2 linked regions of the Drosophila melanogaster genome follow. The protein of the gene in region 1 interacts with the protein of each later gene in a biochemical or structural test. Each region holds a gene or a part of one and is shown on either strand. Other genes may lie near its edges.

Evidence for each region. The genes of interacting proteins can lie anywhere in the genome.
Region 2: the proteins of tgo (region 1) and trh form a complex in vitro, tested with the Drosophila melanogaster proteins (one study listed by BioGRID).

Annotation. Positions count from the first base shown.
Region 1 is NT_033777.3:9,016,250-9,022,041, forward strand, and holds tgo (tango), read right to left. Parts: upstream 3,774-5,792; 5' UTR 3,628-3,773; intron 3,486-3,627; 5' UTR 3,434-3,485; coding exon 1,505-3,433; 3' UTR 524-1,504; downstream 1-523. Other genes in the region: CG11986 (uncharacterized protein), read left to right, coding at 1-19, 86-472; neur (neuralized), read right to left, coding at 5,544-5,792. UniProt on the Drosophila melanogaster protein: Heterodimers of tgo/trh are involved in the control of breathless expression. Plays a role in the cellular or tissue response to oxygen deprivation.
Region 2 is NT_037436.4:389,607-394,386, forward strand, and holds the start of trh (trachealess), read right to left. Parts: upstream 3,028-4,780; 5' UTR 2,503-3,027; exon of another isoform or gene 2,400-2,502; intron 2,188-2,399; 5' UTR 2,155-2,187; coding exon 1,880-2,154; intron 1-1,879. UniProt on the Drosophila melanogaster protein: Transcription factor, master regulator of tracheal cell fates in the embryo, necessary for the development of the salivary gland duct, Malpighian tubules and the posterior spiracles.

The DNA of each region.
Region 1 (5,792 bases):
AACCGAGCAGCAGATGAATGTGAGTAAAGCATTTGTTAATCCTTCGTTAATCCAGGTCCAATTTACCCATCCTCGCATATTCTAGGATTGGCTGGACTTTAAGCGAGTTAGCGACAAGGAGGCCTTGGCTACATTGCGTCCGGCTACCGAACTGCAGTGGCATCGTGTTACCAAGCTGGTAAACAACTCGCGAAACAAAAGCGAGGAGTGCAACAAGCCGATCGAATTGGCGGCTAAGCCCGCAAAGCCACCGATGAACAAAACGATGATGTCTTGGCTGAATGCCCGTAAGAAGCGGGAAGATCAAATCAAAGCAAAACAGAGCGACGATGAGGATCAGGAAAAAGAAGCTACGACCATGGGAGGGACCTCCGCTGACGGCTCACCCGTAGAGAGGCCCGCCAAGCGACCCAGATTCAGGGACTTTAAGAGGAATCGTACGGCAGCTCCCCCGCAGAGCAGCGGCAGCTAGATGAAATCGGGCAAAAGATAAACCTCATCAGTAACTAAAGTTCCATAGTTTGTAGTACATTAAGTTTATTTTCAGTAAAAACCAAAATTTTTATTCTCAATAACCAAAGTTTTAAGCATTATCATCGTTGTGGTGAGCTTACTTACAAATGTTGGGACTTAGCGACTAAAAAGTTGTTTAGAATTTGTTCTCTCGAAGTGAGGTTAACTAACTAATGTTATGTTTGAACTTGACGTAATTAATTAAATGGTCTCATTTCTGCGAGTGCGATTCAATTTTGAGCGCCACTGTATTGAGCTTGGAAGTTTTTGTTGTCGCGGCATAAAATGCAATTAAAACAAAATGAAAAGCTGCACATAAAGCATGTAAAGTGTACATATCGACCGTATATTGTTTGCTCGTCTACGTCTGATTGCCTTGGCGAAAAATGAGCGAAAATTAATGGGAAATGGTGTCAATGTTGTTCGCGGGAAAAGCGTGGAAGTGGTACACTTGCTGAGTTGCTTACAACTATCAATTTGTGGTATATTAGGCTACGAATTGTTTAATTATTTATATATTTATACGTTGTATGAACTTTAAAATGCTCAATGACAAATACAAATGAATACTCTGCACACAGCGTGTCCACATATGAACTTAATCCTATATAATCGATGAGAAAGTTTAGAATTCATGGGCTATATAGCGGTGTAAACACATTGCCTTTAGTTACGAACAATCGTAAGGCCTTAATTGTAAATACTTTTGCACGGCCAATGAGCGGGTTAAGTGGAGGCGGTGGCGGGCGGGCTAATGGATACGGGAGGTGGAAGTGAAGAAGACGTAGCACACAAAAATAAAGATATCTGAATCGTGTACGTGACTACCCCTATGTACTTAAAATGCTATTTACGAGATTACAATTTGCATGCGTTTGGCTGAATTATTTCAACAATGTAAGATGGATTGCACTTGAGAAGTGGTTAAGAGAGACACAGATTAAGTTGCGGGACGGGGGAAGAGTGGGAATCGAAAGAAATGGTGTGGGTATTACTCGAACGGCGTGCTGAACATATTGATATTCAGATCCTCAAACGTGGTCGGCGTGTGATCCAACATCTGCAGCATATCTGAGAACTCCTGACCCTGTGGCTGTCCTGCTCCTGCTGGTCCACCGGGATGAGCGTGCGGATGGTGCGGATGCGCCGTTGGGTGCGGCGGATGCGGGTGTCCTCCAGCCTGCTGCCAGTCCCACATTCCCGGCGCATTGGGTGGCGGTGGTGGTCCCGCCTGATATGCTCCTGGCTGCGCTTGCTGGCGATTTCCGTTTCCGGCACTCAATTGTGTATAGGTTGGACCGCTCGGCGACCTGGCCGGACTCGTCTGCTGATACTGATAGCCTTCGGTCACGGGCTGCTGCTGCTGTTGTTGCTGCTGGGGACGCAGTGCTGCCCAGGAGTTGGGTGCCACCGGCGTGGGTGAGGTGCCAGACTTGGGTATCTTAGCCAACGGTGATGGTCCGCCAGCACTGTACGGCGAGTGTGTGGTGTCGTAGGTATATCCGACTGGTGTGGTTTGCGCCGATCCTGGCCGTTGCTGTTGTTGCTGCTGCTGTTGGGGCGTAGGAGCCTGCATGGCCAGCATGTGCGTCTGGTACATGCCATCATTCGTGGCGCTGCCCACTGGAGTTAACTCGCGGCGCGCATAGTCCACTCCTGGGGCAGCCTGAACATAAACGTGTTGCTCCTGCTGCTGTTGTTGTTGCACTTGCTCGGGCGTATGAGCAGCCGCCGCATCCAGGGGAGCACCGTGCATGGTCTTCCCAGAACTGTTGGTGCACACTATATATTCCACTTCGTCGGTATATGGATTCAGAAAGGCATAGGCCTGTGTGCGGAGCCAAACGTACTCCGAATTCTTAGCTCTGGCTCTGTACAAAAGCGAGAACATCTGTCCCTTTTGCTTGAGCACCTGGTCAAAGCTCTCCTTCATGTGGCTCTGGTCCTCGGGATGAAAGAAATCGTAGCAGATCTTCCCCAGCAGCTCAGTAGGAGTATATCCCAATATGTTAAGGACACGCTGATCCACAAACGTGAACTTGCCATCCATCGCATGACGTGTGATGAACTCACTCTGATTGTTCGATCCACTCATATCGTTGGCTGCCGTGGAGGTGACCTGCAGACGGCCGATGGCCACCAGGCAGCAGTGCGAGCTCATGTCGTCCACATCGCGCTCCATGTGCATGTTGGGGAACATATCGGTGGGCGGCCAGTTTTTGATATAACCCGTGCAGTGAACCACGGCGTAGTTGGTGCCATCCCTTGAAGGTCCGAGGGAGTTTCGTTGCTTGAGACGATTCAAGTGCCCCGAGACCATGGACTCCGGGTTTACATTGCCCACCCGCATGCGACAGATGAAACCACGACGAGCACCCATGCTCAAACGCATGCTGGACTGGTGACCCTCCTTTTTCACAGTTCCCGACTTTAGATCCAGGATGCGGCCGGCATTCTGCGATTCCTGGGTTGATAATTGCTCGCGGATCTTCTCGCGATCATCGGGATGAATGTGCTCATACAGGCTAGTGCCATACCAATCGCTTTGGGTGTAGTTCAGCACGGGAGTCACCGAATCCGATACATAGATCACCCTGCCCGAGTCGCAGGATACCACGAACAGGAAACCATCGGCCGCCTCCAGGATAAGATGCTTAAGCTCCTGGTCGGTCAGGAAGGAGGGCTTGTAAGTGCCATCGCTGCTGGTATTTCCTGTGCCACGCAGTGCCTTCATGTGAGCCACTGCCATGCGGAGAATGGTGAGCTTGTCCGGTTTGCGGGCCAGGGCACTGCAGGTGGGCACCATGTCCGAGAGTTCCGTGATGTAGGCCGTCATCTTGTTGCGGCGACGTCGTTCAATCTCGCAATGGTTCTCGCGGCTGGCGAACCGCTCCTTGTCCTGTATGTTCGCCTCGTCCATGCTTGGAATGCGTAATTAGAAAACGTTCGTCGTAATTTGGGTCGCCTGTGCTCTGTGGAAAAAGGTTCGTGGAATTGAGAGAGGGGCGGGGTAGGGGTAGGGGTTAGTATTTTGTCTACGTCGTGCTTGTGTGTGTACACTTGCTGGCTGGCCAGTAACCTTATTTCCCTCGCTTTTTTTACCCTTCTACTCACCAATGGGGGGTGTACAGAGGTACTTGGTTTATCCAGGCAATTTTATTCGGCTGGTCTTATGCGCTTTTACCATTAATTCTGTACTTTTCTTCTACACTACACGATAAAATCTCTGTTTACTGCGCGAAGTGTGACCGTAGTGTGGACTAACAAATATGCCGATGCAGTGTATAGCAAATCGATAACAATGCGCTAGGTGGCAACACAGGTGCGTTGAATCAAGACCAAGTGGCATTACTATAAAACTAGAACGTTACATTTTAAAATTTTCATCCTAAAAAATAAACACAAATATACAATAAAATTTTAATTTAATATTGACTTTTTTAAGGCCCAGCTATCTGTTGGCTAATTAAGTAAATCAATTTACCGCTTGTCGTGTGGTGAAAATGTTTTTATCTTTCAAAAACATACAAGATCGGCGTCCATTTAAAAAATCGCTTTTCCCAGAAAATAAATAAAACCATCATTGTTTCTGATATTGTTGTCAGTATTTAATGGTATTACAGCATTGCGTTTTCTTACATATATCAAATATAATTTCATAAATACATTTAAATGTTTAGTCATAACTAGGCGCAGTATCGTAATTTTACGAACTATGATTCTTTAAAAAATTAAAAGTTTATTATTAGTGGCAATAACATGTCTTCATTTACTCCTATCCGGATGCATTCTTATAACAAAATAGTAAGCTTGCGCTTTATTCCATTTCGCATATTTCTTTGTGTTCTTTGCTTATTACATTTTTTCAGTTTTAATACAATCTTAGGTAAAGTTTTATCCGCTTTGCTTGTCCTTCATGTTAAATCTGCTTGGTATTGTTAATTAATTATTGGCAATTTTCTAACTGCATGGTTTATTTAGATGGGCATTCCATTTTCCATATTTCATTCAAGCTGTTGGTACAACATACAAGTCTTTTGTTCTATGTTTATAGTTAAATATATTTAAGTCTCCATTAAAATACGTGCACTACTTAAGTGTAATTTAAAATGCGGCTTCATTAAAATAGCTTAGCGTGCTTAATACGTCTTTTTTGTGGTGTCTTTGTTGGATGAAGTCCGGTTTAGATTTAACTTCAGCATAATTCGTTGACTAGAAATTAACTTAAGTACTTAGGGCTAGACTAATATTAACTTTAAACAAACACGCTCTTGCAGTTTTCTATTTTGGTTTACGTGCATAAGTGTTTTCTGATCAATCTTTGTTCATTAATTTGTGCTGCAAACTTATTTGAGTTGCGTCGATATCCATTTCCTTGCTGGAAAGTAGTCAATATTTGCTTCTTGTGATTTCATATCAAATTAAGGTCATTCGTAGTTGCTGCAAGCTTAAACATAACTTTTCAAATCCGTTAACAATTTTATTTTGCCTTTCAAAACATTTAGCACCAAAATGATTAATCGCCAAATAAAGAATCCTTGTAGTTTGTGTTTGTTAATTTTGCACATCGTTTGGAATTTAGACATAGAGAAAAACTAAGTAAATTTGCAACAACTTTCAATTAATTCCAATTTAAATTCAAAATACTATAAACTCCTATACAATACTTTGGTTTTTCAGTATACAACGCACAAATGGGCGATTCAAGGTTTGAAAAAAATTGAAAAAACGAAGATATCTTTGTTGGATTGAACAATACATAGTTTTGGCTCTGGGGCGCACTTACTTATAACATCACAAAAAAATTAAACATACGTGTGATAAATTAGTTGATAGTTTCATACACTAATCTAGCTGCGTAAACTATCTAATCTTTAGTCTGCAAAAATAATGCCTATCTCTCCAATATAATATTCTTTGCGCTCAATTGCGTTTAAAATGCAACAACTTGTGTGTATGGTATAATGTGTAGCTTTAGTAGGTTTGATTGCGAGTAAATGTTGCTTGGCTAGGAAACGCCCGCGACCTTTCTACGTGGTGTAGGTGCGGATGACGTCCCGGATCACCGCCCGGCACAGTGGGCACTGGCCACCACCCACTCCGCGCCACTGCTCGATGGCGCAGTCGTAGCACATGCACATGTGTCCGCACATGTACAGCACCGAGTCGATGGGATTCTCGTAGCAGATGGTGCATTCGGCACTCGAATCGGTGCTCTGCTGGTCGCTCAGGCTGTCCTTCCACTTGTTGGCCGCATTATTTGTGCTATTGGCAATGGG
Region 2 (4,780 bases), on another chromosome or scaffold:
CCTGGCCCGTATTGGGGTTTTTCATCCCCCTTTGCCGCCCGTGAAGGCGCTGGAAATTCCCCCTGGAAATTCCCCTTCCAATATACAAAGCAACAAAGTTGTCGGCTGTAATGAAAAACAAACGTCCCAGCAATTTTCCAGTTAGGTCAAAACTCTTTTTGTCTCACTCGTTTTTAGTTATCGTGGCCCCTCCCCCGTGGCCATCCATTTTTCCCAGTGTAATGTAACTTTAACGAATTGAGGCATAAGCAAAAATAAAAAAGTGAAAAATAAAATGAAAATAATGGGAAAAAGACCAAAATGAAATTGAGGCAGAGTCATCAGAGGCAGCCCATCGCAGGTTGGCGAGGGGAAACAATCACAGTTTAGATTTCAGCAGGGAACCCTTTTCCCGCCGCGCTGGTTGTGCTTTTAATATTACTTCGCGGCCCTCTCTTCGCGTCTTCGTCAATATTCGCCAAGGTAATAACTCAGGTGATTATAGTAATTATGCGTTCTGACGCGATCCAGCCACGGATAACGCTATTCCGATATAATTGAAAAATGCTGATAGACGCTGATTGTGTGAGCCGAGAAGTTGGAGTGGCGGAGTCGGGAGTTCAGAGTCGGAGTTAAAGTTGCAGTCCCAGTTGAAGCTTAAGTTCGGAACATGAAGGCCTATGTGTGCCTTAGAGATGTGCGTGAGCAGCTTACCGATAGGCAAGAAAGTGAGTCACGAGACTCACGACCCTTGGCACAGCTATACAATACTATACTACAATACTTTTAATATTTAAGCTATTCTGGTTTTCTCGAATGTCTCCATATCCTTCTAACGTAGCATATTTATTAAATCTTTCGCTCCGGACTATCAATTCAAAAGGCCCTGTGGCCCATCTCTAGCCATCCCAAGTCCCAAAACCCCAGACACTGGTAGTCAAAGCTGCTGTGCCCGCATCTGGAACTCCTCGAGCCTCAATCCTCAATCTTAACTACAAACTCGACTCTTTCGGCGGGGCCACCAATCAGAGTTCATGAATTACATCGCCATTGCAATATTGTTGTGGGAATGTCTAAAAGAGGTCTCGGCTTAAGACAGAGCCCGGATTGCCACTTCTGCTTCATGGCTATTGCGGCGAAATGTTCTTTGATGCCGATTTCATTTTTCGATATTGAAAATAACCATGCATTACGGAGGAGGCTTATGTACTGGGAGTGGGAAAAGTGAAAGATGGAGGGAGCTGCCCAACTTATCTCGTGACAATCGCCCGACTTCGTGAGGCGTTCATCGCTCGCTTTTCGGTGGCCTGGCGAGTGAGTGTCGAAAGTGTTATTGTCACGTAAATTCAATTAGTTTAATTATGAGTTTCATCGATGTTGGCACCTCTGTAGTGCTCTGCCTGCACTTCATAACTGAAAAATTTTAATTTTCGGACATTTAATTTTTTTTTTTGGCGAAAGCTACTTTTGGGGGGGGGGCACACTTCGTGGTGGGTATGAGGTGACAAGGTGTCAGACATGCTGGGGTCAAAAATGGATATTTCAGGATTGTGAGACATATTTTCACATACGAATAAAAACTGATTAAGGAGGTGTACCTTGTCAGTTCCTTTAAGTCACAATTTTTTTTTACCTAGAACCTCAGTTATGAGCGAGCAATCGCCTAACTTCCACCCCAAAAAGGAAGTGGAATAATTTCTCCCTGTTAGTGGGCAGTTCCATCAATTGTCTCAGCATCTCCGCATCTCAGCCCATTGGATATCAGGTGGACACTTTTCCGCCATTGGCAACGCCCCCAAAATTTGCATGCAAACTCCAGCGAAAGAGAAACCAATAGAGTGTGCGAATGGAAGGGAAATATTGGTGCAGTGTGAAGTGGTTCTGGTTTCGTTTAATTTACCTGTAGTAGGGGAATCCCTGCGGCACATGCAGATCCATCGGCATCCCTCCGGCGGTTCCCAGGTGCGGATGGTGGTGCGGATGCGAGTGCGGATGTGGGTGTGGATGCGAGTGCGAGTGGTGGTGGTGATGCGAGTGTATAGGATGGTGCATCGAGTGGTTCTGGACATGCGCCGCAGCAGCCGCAGCGGCGAACCCGGCATCGGAGGCCATCGAGTGGTGTCCCAGAACGGCGGCCCATGGCGAAGCCACGAACCCACTGCCGTGATGCTCCATTTCTAGGAGTTCCTCTCTATCTATATATTATGACTACACGCAGGTTTATTAGGGTGAGTCCGGTTTTCATAGACACGGAATCGTAGGTGTGGAAAGAAAGCTTTGCATTAATATATCTATATGATGGCAGTATGGTCTGGCCAATAAAGTATCGTTCTAAAAATGTAATAAGATAATTGGAACAAAATTCTGTTCTGTTAATTCTTGTGACTTTTAATAGTTTTTTTTTTTTTTTTTTTTTTTTTAATTAAATTTTAAACAAATCAATTGGATTAAAGTTATGCCGATAGAATTCTTTCCGCCCCTGCGATTGATCTCTCATTCGTCCTACTATGGAACTTGACCCACCCTGATGCGAGACTATTTATTTTCGGCGATAGCTTTTCAGCTATTTATCTTTGATTTGATGTGGTCACACGCACTCTCACAGAGACACAAACACTTGCGGATTATATAGACATATTTGCACATTCCGTTTGGGCCAAGATGGCGGCCATTATTTACCGTTAACGCGCATGGCCGTTTTAGGGGGGAGTTTTCGGGAGGTGGCTCGGCTCAGCTTAGCTCAGCCCCTCAAAATCATCCTTGTCCCTACCAAAAAGAACCGACGGCAGCCAAAAAAGAGCTGATGCAAACAAAAAACAAGTGAACGGTGGCTGAACGTCGAGGAAGGACGACCAAGTCACAACGTCAACCTTGAATTAGGGGTGTCGCTAGCCGTTGGGTGTACGGATTCGGGTTACACGGAGGCGAGATACTACGGGTACGATAGGGAGCCGGAGCTGGGCTCTCTCGCATCTGGGCAGTGCTTTTCCTTTCGCACGTTTTTGGTCCGCGTTCACCTCTGCACGGCACGAAAATTGGCGATAAACTATCGCCTCGCCTCGCATCAGGAAACATGGTCGGTCGCCTCGGTCGTTTGGTCGGTTGGTCGGTTGGCTGGCTGGTTGGAGGTGGTTGGATGGTTGGATGGCTGGATGTTGTTGGTCCGAACTCAAGAGCATCGTCATCATCGTCATCTCATCTGCGCTGCATCTGCGAAACTTGGAGCGGCGCATTGCAAGCTGCAAATGGTGGTGGAGCAGGTTTTCGTATGGGAGAGTCGCCGCCACACAGATACAGACCCACTCACTAATGTGGTGTGGTCCTCTCCAGCATACAGCATCCACACATCATATTGTTGTATATATCATGTTCTTGTTTTGCCTCCGCCTCGGTCTCGGGGTCTCTCCCTCTCTCTAGAGAGTCGTGAACACCTGAGTTCTCTTCCTCGCTCGGGGCATTCTCTGGAGAATTCGGTGGAGCAACTCTCAACACGCCAGCGGTGATATTGTGTTCTGTGTTGTGGATGGTGTGTGATGTTGTTGAGGGCGAGATAAGACGGTCTACTGGGGGAGTCATTTGCTCCCATTATGGGGAGGCCCATTTCTGAATCGACTGAAGCACATAAAGGAAAATTTAGGATTTGAAATGGGAATTTGAAGGATAGGTCAGGAATATTGAGAAAGTATATTGAATAATGGCTTGCGCCAAATAAAATACTTTATAATTCAGACATATCTAAGTCATCAATTTTAGTAAAGACGTTCATAAGTTCGTTCTATCTAGTTCTTCGTTCAGCAATTGCATTACAATTGATGTCCACTATAAATTGTAACCATAAAACTTCGTTGTATAAGGAACAATGAACATGTCTGCCATATCTGCCCATTCCACCAACCTGACCTGTTCCCACAAAACATTTATGATTATTTCCATTGCATTATTTCCATTCTCATTCTCATAGTCATTTCCCCAGATGGCGGAAACGGAGGACTTAGAAGAGGAAGGGCTGACAACTTAGTTAAATAAGGCGCCACCTGTCAAGTGATTTTCAATAAAATAAATTCGTGATTACACGACAATATCGAAACGAAAAATCCAAGAGATCAGCACAACAATAACAAAAGACTCCCACGGGGAATGCTGCTGCCCGTTTGGCCTCCAGTCCTCCCCCACTCCCAACTCCCCAGTTCTACCTTCCTGGCCCATCACACACGACTTGGACTTCAGGTTGCGAATCCTTGGCACACACTCACATCCCCAAGCAAACGGAGCCTCCACTTCTGAATCGCAGTCGTGCAGGGTCAACGTCAATACTGAATGTTGTCGCCGTTCCAACTGTCCGTCCAACGGAGCGTCCGTCTGTCGTTGAGTCCGTCCGTCTGTCTGTCTCGGTGTCTTGGCTTGTTTACAGTGTGCAAAAATCATTTAGACAAGTTGACAAAAGCTCGTTTGGAACGTGAGTAACATGAGTTGGACCCGAGACTGGAGATTCGAACTGGGGACTCGAGACCTGAGACTGCTGCCTTGGCTGCCTTCGGAATTGGTTCTGCCCGTCCGCCGGTTGCCGTTTTCTGCGGTTATTTGGGCTTTTGGAGCTTCTCAAGTATCTGAGGTCTTAATTCTAAACATGGCAAATGTGCCTAGAGCGTGCTGCTCAGCTGCTGCTTTGTTTCTTTGCTTCTATAATACTTTGGCCTGCGGCGGCGAATAAAATAAAATGAGGCCTTGCCCCAGCCGACTGACCTTTGGCTGTAATGAAAATGCTATCCCAGTTAAGAATGTTGTGAATGTGCCAGCCTAT